Cricetulus griseus: one gene and its partner. Each later gene encodes a partner of the first gene's protein in a complex. Links are inferred from orthologs where the notes say so. Each region holds a gene or a part of one and is shown on either strand. Other genes may lie near its edges.

Region 1 (4,817 bases):
GACATCCCATACCAACCAGGTTGACATCACCACCTTCTTCTTTCTCATTTCTTCCCCTCCTCTTCTTTCTCTGGGGAAGGGCAGAGGAAAAGGTGGGGTAAAGAGAATCCAGTTAACACTGGTTGACTTTGAAGGAGAAACTGCTTGCTTCTTTTCATGTCCAGGTACCTAACTTCAAAAGGGCTTGGGGTCTGAAGACAAAGGGGCTCCTCCTGGTTAGAGCCCTTGGGGGTGAGCGAGGATTTGCATGCTCAAGCTGGGCATATTGGGGAGCTTGTTGAAACAAAAGTAATGGCCCAGCTACCTACCTCTAGAGGGTTATTCTATCTAGTCTTGGAGTACAGTCAGCTGAAGGGCTTAACACCATAATTAAAAACAAAACAAAGAGACCTACTGTGCATTATTGCTGAGTTCACTCAGCTCAGAGTTTAGAATACTTTCTGTTCATAGGGTCAGGGTATGTTCTCCAAATGAGGCTCTTAGGCCCAGGCAGCCATCTGAGGACCAGAGCTACAGGCTTTAGGTCAGAGCAGAACATGCTTACTTGAGCCCTAGATTCCTACCCAGAGATGGCAGAGTCAGGCCTAGCCTTCTCCATTGTCTCCTTGGTGGTTACAGAATCAAGTCTAGAGTGTGGGGTGTTTGGCCAAGTAGAAGCAGTTACTGCATTTTGGGGTCCAGGGGACTGAACCAGGCCCACCTACCCCTGTGGTAGGACAAGCAGGCAGAGGCTGTGAAGCTGTGGCTATGGCTGTGACTTTGTTTTGTTTTCTAACCTGAGTTTTTAAGGAGGAGTTTCTGGCTCTTCAAAGCTCAGGTGTGGAGCTTGGCCAGGGGGAACTGGGACTTGAATTGTGAGCAGCCTTCCCCTGAGGTTCTGGGTGAGCTGGGGGCCTGGAGCCTGAGCCCCAGAAGTCTGGAGCAGATGTCTGGGTGGGGCCTATTCCAGGCCTGCCTGGGCTGCTTCGACTTGGGATTTCCTGGAGGGCTCAGCAGTAGAACAGGCTTTATGAACTTCAGTGAAGAGCTTGGGGGCACTGAACACCCCAGCTTATAGCTGCAATTACCCTAGGAAAACCTGAAGTCTTGGATGATGGTGGAGGGTCTTACAGCTGTGGCAACCCTGAGTTGTTGTCTACCCTCCCCCCCCCTTTAATTTCTGGCTCTGGCTTATTAGGGCAGAGAAACAGGCTGCTTTTGCCTTTCAACAGCTTTGATGAATTTCTTCCTGATGAGGAGAGACTTGTGGCAGGACTCCCGAGGTCCCAGGGTCTCCCACTTTTAACTCCTCAATTGCCACATGCCTCCCTGTCACCCTGCTCCTTGTCTCTGGGTCATGTTTCTTTCCCTCCGTCTCTGCTACTGGTCATGAATCTGACCTTCTGTGGTTGAGAACATGGGTTTAGTGCTGGATAAAGAAATTGCAGAGACTCATCTCCAGGATGCTGAGAGGGGGGTCTCCTTTAACTTGGTGTGAATCTCCACCCAGGCTGGCCTGGTTGTCTGGTTGTACTGATTGATTGCATAACCTGGGCCCTGGGGCCAGCCCTGTGAAGCTGCCAGGGACAGTCTGTGCAAGGCAGAGCTGCCAAACAGGCCTTTCAGGCAGCAGCCATGTGAATGGAGTTGGGAGGTGGAGGGCTCCCAGAAATGTTGGGGAACAGGGCCTTGGATGAGAAACCAAGAAGCTACTTGTTGCTGTTGACCCTTATTAAGCCCTTGCATCCCAGGTCAGTCTTATTCTGCAGCTTGGGATGTCTAGGGTTAAGTTGAACCAGCAGCAGCCTGGCTGCCAGGTGGTGCCTAGACCATGGGCAGAATCCAGATGTCTGCTGCTCTCATTCCCACAGGCTCCCAAGAACCATAACTTCCCTTTTGGGAGTCCTTTGACATAGGTAGGGGCATGGTGGCAGGGAAGAGTGTGAGAGAGAAGGGTGGGGGAAGGACAGGTCCCGGCTATGTGGAGGCCATATGGTGGCCAGATGGTGTCTGCACTCTCCTGAGGCCATCTCCACAAGCTGTGACATGGCCAAGCCATCCTATTGTCCTTGCTCACCTGGGGTGCTGCTGCCTGATGGCTTGCCACCCCACTGACTGCCTTTCTTCCCCAGTCATGCCACTAGACATGCATACCCCATCAGACTGTTATAACTCCTGTACTCCCTTGGGTTGCTATGCATTGCCCCTAATCACCCAAGTAATGTTTTTTCTTCAGGATGGGGAAAGGAATAGGGAGTATATAGTGGCCCATCTAAAGACAATAAATTGCTCAAAGCTGGCTCACCCCAGGGTGCAGGACATGGCATATTGAAGCTGGGAAGGGGTGATAAGTCCTAAAAAATTCCCCAGGCCCTTCTTTCTGCAAGTGGTGCTCCCCTCCCACCCATGGACTCTGGCTGCCTCATTTGTTGGCACTGCCTGCCAGGGCGGTTGCAGGGGCGGGGCAGGTGTGGTTTACACGCTGGGCTCAGGCGCCTGTTCCCCTTTGTTCCTGGTCTCCAGCAGGTCTCCCCATGCTCGAGAGAGATGGAGGGTATGGGCTATGGACCTCGTAGGGCTTTGCCACTGACCTGTGCACCCCCACTGTTCCACTTTACCCAGCGACCTGGCATGTCACCAGGAAGCAGGATGCCCATGGCTGGCTTGCAGGTGGGACCTCCAGCTGGCTCCCCGTTTGGCACAGCTGCTCCGCTTCGACCTGGCATGCCACCTACCATGATGGATCCATTCCGAAAACGCCTGCTTGTGCCTCAGGCCCAGCCCCCAATGCCTGCCCAGCGCCGAGGGTAAGACATTCTTGTGCCTTGCTAGCTCATCTCTGGCGTTCAGTTTCCCTCTACCTTGACCCCAAGGAGACTCTTGGCAATTTGGGAGAGGGTTTTGAAGATGGAGAGTTTGGACTGTTAACCTCTTAAATGGTTTCTGTTTCCTTCCTAGGCTAAAGAGGAGGAAGATGGCAGATAAGGTTCTACCTCAGCGAGTGAGTGTGTTAGGAAGCCTGCCCAGCTCTGGCTGGCTAGCATCAGAGCCATCTTCCCCAATCCTGCAATGGGGAAGGGAGGAAGGACTGTAGAACTGGAGCTGGTGGAGCAAGCCGCTGCATTTCTCAATCTGCAGATCCGGGAGCTTGTCCCAGAGTCTCAGGCGTACATGGACCTCTTGGCTTTTGAGAGGAAGCTGGACCAGACCATCGCTCGCAAGCGGATGGAGATCCAAGAGGCCATCAAGAAGCCCCTGACGGTACACGCCTCCCCAGACTGCCCTCCCTGCCTGACGGTACACGCCTCCCCAGACTGCCCTCCCTGCCTGACGGTACACGCCTCCCCAGACTGCCCTCCCTGCCTGACGGTACACGCCTCCCCAGACTGCCCTCCCTGCCTGACGGTACACGCCTCCCCAGACTGCCCTCCCTGCCCGACGGTACACGCCTCCCCAGACTGCCCTCCCTGCCTGACGGTACACGCCTCCCCAGACTGCCCTCCCTGACGGGCGGCCCTGCTCGGGGGTGCTAGGGCAGGGCTCCCTGACGGTACACGCCTCCCCAGACTGCCCTCCCTCCCTGACGGGCGGCCTTGCTCGGGGGTGAGCAGGGCTCCCTGACGGTACACGCCTCCCCAGACTGCCCTCCCTCCCTGACGGGCGGCCTTGCTCGGGGGTGCTAGGGCAGGGCTCCCTGACGGTACACGCCTCCCCAGACTGCCCTCCCTCCCTGACGGGCGGCCTTGCTCGGGGGTGAGCAGGGCTCCCTGACGGTACACGCCTCCCCAGACTGCCCTCCCTGCCTGACGGTACACGCCTCCCCAGACTGCCCTCCCTGCCTGACGGTACACGCCTCCCCAGACTGCCCTCCCTGCCTGACGGTACACGCCTCCCCAGACTGCCCTCCCTGCCCGACGGTACACGCCTCCCCAGACTGCCCTCCCTGCCTGACGGTACACGCCTCCCCAGACTGCCCTCCCTGACGGGCGGCCCTGCTCGGGGGTGCTAGGGCAGGGCTCCCTGACGGTACACGCCTCCCCAGACTGCCCTCCCTCCCTGACGGGCGGCCTTGCTCGGGGGTGAGCAGGGCTCCCTGACGGTACACGCCTCCCCAGACTGCCCTCCCTCCCTGACGGGCGGCCTTGCTCGGGGGTGCTAGGGCAGGGCTCCCTGACGGTACACGCCTCCCCAGACTGCCCTCCCTCCCTGACGGGCGGCCTTGCTCGGGGGTGAGCAGGGCTCCCTGACGGTACACGCCTCCCCAGACTGCCCTCCCTGCCTGACGGGCGGCCTTGCTCAGGGGTGAGCAGGGCTCCCTGACGGTACACGCCTCCCCAGACTGCCCTCCCTGACAGGCGGCCTTGCTCGGGGGTGCTAGGGCAGGGCTCCCTGACGGTACACGCTTCCCCAGACTGCCCTCCCTGACGGGCGGTCTTGCTCGGGGGTGAGCAGGGCTCCCTGACGGTACACGCCTCCCCAGACTGCCCTCCCTGACGGGCGGCCTTGCTCGGGGGTGAGCAGGGCTCCCTGACGGTACACGCTTCCCCAGACTGCCCTCCCTGACGGGCGGCCTTGCTCGGGGGTGCTAGGGCAGGGCTCTCTGCCTAGGCTAGGGCAGGGCTCCTCACGGCAGGGAGAGCACCAAGCGGTCCTCCCTTGTGATCACAAGCCTTTACCATCGTGCCCAGCCTACTGTGTCCCAAACATAGCCTACTAGCACTAGTGAAGCACGCACTGCAGCAGCAAGAGCACTGTATGAGAACTGTTTCGCCTGCGCATGTAGGCACGCGCGTCTACCTATGTCTATACGTATGTGGCTCCTATGACCCAGAAGGTAA
Region 2 (4,817 bases), on another chromosome or scaffold:
GCCTTATAAACCGTATCCTATTGTCACACTCTCATTCTTGAAGTCTCTTTCTATCACCTAGCCATGTCCCCAACCTTAAGATATACTTGGTAAAAGTTTGTGTCTTTAAGAAACTCTTTTAAAAGTTTGTTTTATAATTACAAGATTTAGTATAAGTAGTACATCAGACAAGAGTAAATACAGGTTTGTAAGTATTTTTAGTGTCCAGAAGCCATGAATGTAGTATATGTGTGACTGTGTACTATTTATTGCTAGAATGGAACTGGAACCAGCATTAATGCTATTTTCTCTCTCTTATTAAATTGATGACAATTTCATACATGCATGTATTCTGATTAGTCCATTTTTTTTCTCTTCTCATTCCATCAACCCTCTCTCCCTTATCCCAGCAGTCCCTTTCCCATTCAAGACTTGACTTTTTTGTAATTCATGGAGATTAGCCAGGGTCACCCAAGAGATCACTGAGTTGGAACTGCAGATACTAGTTGACAATTTAGGTTACGTCATTAAGTGGACAAGGACAGAACTTGTTTGTAATTCTTTGAATTTTTTTTAACAATCATCCAAAAGGTATTAAACTTATTTTTATTGTTCATCTAACAACTAGAGCTCTGCTATTTTTGTTTTCCATCCTCCTTTCCTCCCTCCCTCCTTCCTTCTTTCTTCCTTTCTGTTAAAACCGAAGAATTATGAAATGCTTGACTTGTTGCTTCATCTTTAGATGGGTTGTATCTTTAAAAGGTATTTACAAGACTGTTGTAATCATGGTTTCTACTTGATGGTTCACAGACTTGAGAGTATGGCAGAATTGTCTGAAGGCTGCATATACATACAGCACAGAGTTCTTAATTTTCTAGTCAGGTGGGAACTAAGAACTTTAATTCTAACAAGTTCCTATGAGGTGCTGGTGCTATTGGTCTAGACTGCTGTACTAAAAAAATTGAAGTAGTATTCAATATTGAGCATCACTATATTTCAGTGCTACTTCTGTTATAAAGTGCTATATATCATATGTTTTGATTAGTTCTTGTAAAAATTTTGATGGTACAGATTTCCCTTATTTAATACTTGAGAATGTCTGCCACAAAGCCAAGCTGATAAAGCTGGGGTGGGTAGTAGGTGCTGCTTTGGGTGCTAGGGCTAAAGTATAGGCATGAGTGTACAGCTCACACTCGGATCCTAATCAACAAAGCTAAATTTTTATTACTTATATAAAGCAAGATATCTGTGCTTGATTTTGAGATAGGTCTTTTCTTGATGCCAATGCTAGCCTTGAATTGGTAATCCTCCTGCTTTTTGTCCCATTTTATCCTAGAAACTCTATAGAATTAATATTCACCTTTTAAATTTAAAAATGAATTTATCACTTCCAATGCATTGTACAGCTGAACTGACAGATGCTTATTGAGCTGATGACCTTAGCCTTTCCGTTTGTTCATTTGTTTGTTTATTGACTGCAGTGCTGAGGTTGAATGTATGGCTTTATACCTAGGTTAGGCAAGCACACAACCAACAAGCTGAGCTCCCCTCCCACATAGGTCCACAGCTTTTCTCAGGCCAGGTTCTGTTTTAATCACTTTGTGGCTTTTCTTATCTGTACCTACATAACAAATAACTAGAGAAAATAATAAATATGTGAAGTATTCAATCAGTTTCGGGAGATGGGAAAAACAATTTATATTGCTAGTAGCTAAATTATCCATTTTATTGTTTAATAATTATGAGGCTAAACAAAATAGGAAGATTCTAAAATAGTACCTAATATGCATGATCACTTTTCTTTTTTTCTCTAATTTCTTTATTTTCACGTGTTTCCATACCTTTGTAGAAAGACATTCTTTATAAATAAGAACTGGTTTAGTGCCCAGGAATGTAGCATATAGTGTCTAAATTTAGTAAATGATAGAGCTCTTTTTTTTTTTTTTTTTTTTTTTTTTTTTTTTTCTTTTTCTTCAGCTTCCAGAACAGTTGTGACACAGCATGCCGCTCCACCTCCAGGAATAGTGGAAATAGATAGTGAAAAGTTTGCTTGTCAGTGGTAAGTGGCTTGTTTCTGTTACAGCTTTAAAATTCTTGGGAAGAACAAACCAACAGAAAAAGAAATGGATTTATTAGCTACCCAGCAGTTTTATTAAAACTAAATTGGAGAATCAGGTTTTGTTGTTAAATATCATCTTTGTTTGGTTTTGGTTGTGTGTTTGAGGCAGGTGCTTGCTGTGTAGCTCAGGCTCTCCTTGAGCATAGCCTCTCAATTACCACTTTTGACAAGGATGAGAGAAAATTATTTTATCATTGTTACTATTTAATTAAATGTATGAGAAACAGGTTGACCTCTTTTGCTAGTGAGTTCTGGAAAGAGACTTTACAAAGCTAACAAGATTTCTAATGCTGACTTACATACATGTTTTTAATGTAGATGGACTTGACTCTAAAAAGAAGTGTGTTAGTTTCTTAGAAGTACAAATGGAAGTGTTTTGAGATGAGAGTGGCTGTGCGTAATATGTCATTGTTTGATGGCACAGTTGGAAAGCTTTGGTGAGTCTTGGCTGAAGGAGTTTGATCCAAGAGCAGAGAAAAAATTAGTTCAGTTTTCCACTATTTCCTTGACCTCAGTGCACACTATGATGCCTTTGATTAGGAGTTATTGCAAGACAGGTACACCACCAGATAATGACTGGGTAACACTGCTTCTTAGAGAACTGTTGCTAACAGACCATCCTTCCTGTGGCTGAGATGTAACTGTAGCTTTTGTTTATACTCCTTTAGTAAATATGATAAACAATTGGCCTATTTCATTAAATCTGTCTAAACCTTATGTGTATTTTTACTACTGACATACGAGGTAGTGAAATTTGGTTAGTTGAAGTAATTATTAGTATAACACTTTATCTTTTAATATACATGGAGGTTCATGGTATATAATGTCTTAATTTTTCTCTTTTTCTGTTTAGGCTGAATGCTCATTTTGAAGTAAATCCAGATTGTTCAGTCTCTCGAGCAGAAATGTATTCTGAGTACCTCTCAACTTGTAGTAAATTAGCTCGTGGTGGCATCCTCACATCAACTGGGTTTTACAGGTGTCTGAGGTAAAGTGACCAGCTTTTCAAAGATTCATTCATGTCAGTTGTTCTTGCATACTAGAGAAAACACCACAAGGCTGCTGACTTTTGCATCTCTACTGCTTGAACTTCCCCACACATTGGCTTTAGTTCAGTAGAGGCTCAAGTAAAGTCACTGTGTTGAGGCAGGGTTTATAATGTCTTATCAAAGAAAGAAATGTTTCTATAATGTTTATCAAAGAAAGAAAAGTAGGAAGTCAAATTCCCCTTTTTCTCCTACCTTCTTTGAAATGTTGAAGACATTATTCATTTTAAGTCTTGAATCCTAATATGTTGTTGATATGCATTTGACCAAATATGAGACCTTTGTGCTTTGCTAAATTCATAAACATACATGTTTTTAAAAACTGGTTATATATAAATTGCTTAAAACTCAACATTGTTAATAAGCAATGGTTCTTTAATTAGAGAATTAATCTTGTACATATCTATCTTTCCTCTTTTGCAGACTATGACATTGTGACTCATTGGTCAATGCATTAGTAGCAATGGCAATGCTCTGAGCATTGCTGGGGGCAGTGCTGTACTTTTGTCCTGTTTTTCATAATTAGTGTGTGTTATTTTACAGAACAGTTTTTCCAAATCATACAGTGAAGAGAGTGGAGGATTCCAATAGCAGTGGGCAGGCACATATTCATGTCATAGGAGTGAAACGGAGGGCTATACCACTCCCCATCCAGATGTACTATCAGCAACAGCCAGTTTCCACTCCTGTTGTCCGCGTTGATTCTGTTGCTGATGTGTCTCCAACACCTTCACCTGCAGGTATTAACTTTCAATTTTAATATTCATTTATTATATATGCAGTCAGGTCTTGCTGTACAAACCATGCTGGCCTCAAACTTGGGGTCCTTCTGAAAGCTGGGATTACAGACAAATGGCAGTATCCCCAAGTTTTTCAATGTTTTAAGGATTGCTAGAATGTAAATGTGTATTTTGTATATTAAGTGATGGCCTTGCCCTGTGCTGTTTACAGTGTTTCTCATGGGTGTCACCATACTCTAATGTTTCCTGTCTTTTGGGCATTAATTTCTTTACACCCTTCCTCTTGTATTAAATTAGATAATAAGACATTTGACATCTTACAGTCATTTTACTTGTAACTTTTATTTTTCCCCATATATATAGGAATCCCTCATGGATCACAAGCTGTAGGAAATCATTTTCAGAGGACTCCTGTTACCAATCAATCTTCAAATTTGACTGCAACACAAATGTCTTTTCCAGTACAAGGTGTTCATACTGTGGCACAGACTGTTTCTAGAATTCCACCAAATCCTTCAGTTCATACCCACCAGCAACAAAATGCTCCAGTGACTGTCATTCAGAATAAAGCCCCAATTCCTTGTGAAGTCGTTAAAGCAACAGTAATCCAGAATTCTCTGCCCCAGACAGCAGTTCCTGTGAGTGTTGCTCTTGGAGGAGGACCTGCACAGACTTCTGTGGTTCAGAATCATAGTACAGGGCCACAACCTGTTACAGTTGTGAATTCTCAGACATTGCTTCACCATCCATCTGTGATGCCACAACCATCTCCATTACACACAGTGGTACCGGGACAGATACCTTCAGGCACTCCTGTTACAGTAATTCAGCAAACTGTACCACAGAGTCATATATTTGGAAGAGTACAGAACATACCAGCATGTACATCTACAGTTTCACAGGGTCAACAGTTAATCACCACATCACCACAAC

Evidence for each region. Proteins that work in one complex are often made in the same cells at the same time.
Region 2: Smarcd2 (region 1) and Arid2 share a complex: the UniProt entries of both Homo sapiens proteins name them as parts of the SWI/SNF-B (PBAF) chromatin remodeling complex. The link is inferred for Cricetulus griseus from reciprocal best matches to the Homo sapiens genes SMARCD2 and ARID2.

Annotation. Positions count from the first base shown.
Region 1 is NC_048600.1:119,214,998-119,219,814, reverse strand, and holds part of Smarcd2 (SWI/SNF-related matrix-associated actin-dependent regulator of chromatin subfamily D member 2), read left to right. Parts: intron 1-2,601; coding exon 2,602-2,786; intron 2,787-2,937; coding exon 2,938-2,980; intron 2,981-3,117; coding exon 3,118-3,240; intron 3,241-4,817. UniProt on the Homo sapiens protein: Involved in transcriptional activation and repression of select genes by chromatin remodeling (alteration of DNA-nucleosome topology).
Region 2 is NC_048595.1:392,797,117-392,801,933, forward strand, and holds part of Arid2 (AT-rich interactive domain-containing protein 2), read left to right. Parts: intron 1-1,956; coding exon 1,957-2,038; intron 2,039-2,951; coding exon 2,952-3,086; intron 3,087-3,687; coding exon 3,688-3,884; intron 3,885-4,247; coding exon 4,248-4,817. UniProt on the Homo sapiens protein: Involved in transcriptional activation and repression of select genes by chromatin remodeling (alteration of DNA-nucleosome topology). Required for the stability of the SWI/SNF chromatin remodeling complex SWI/SNF-B (PBAF).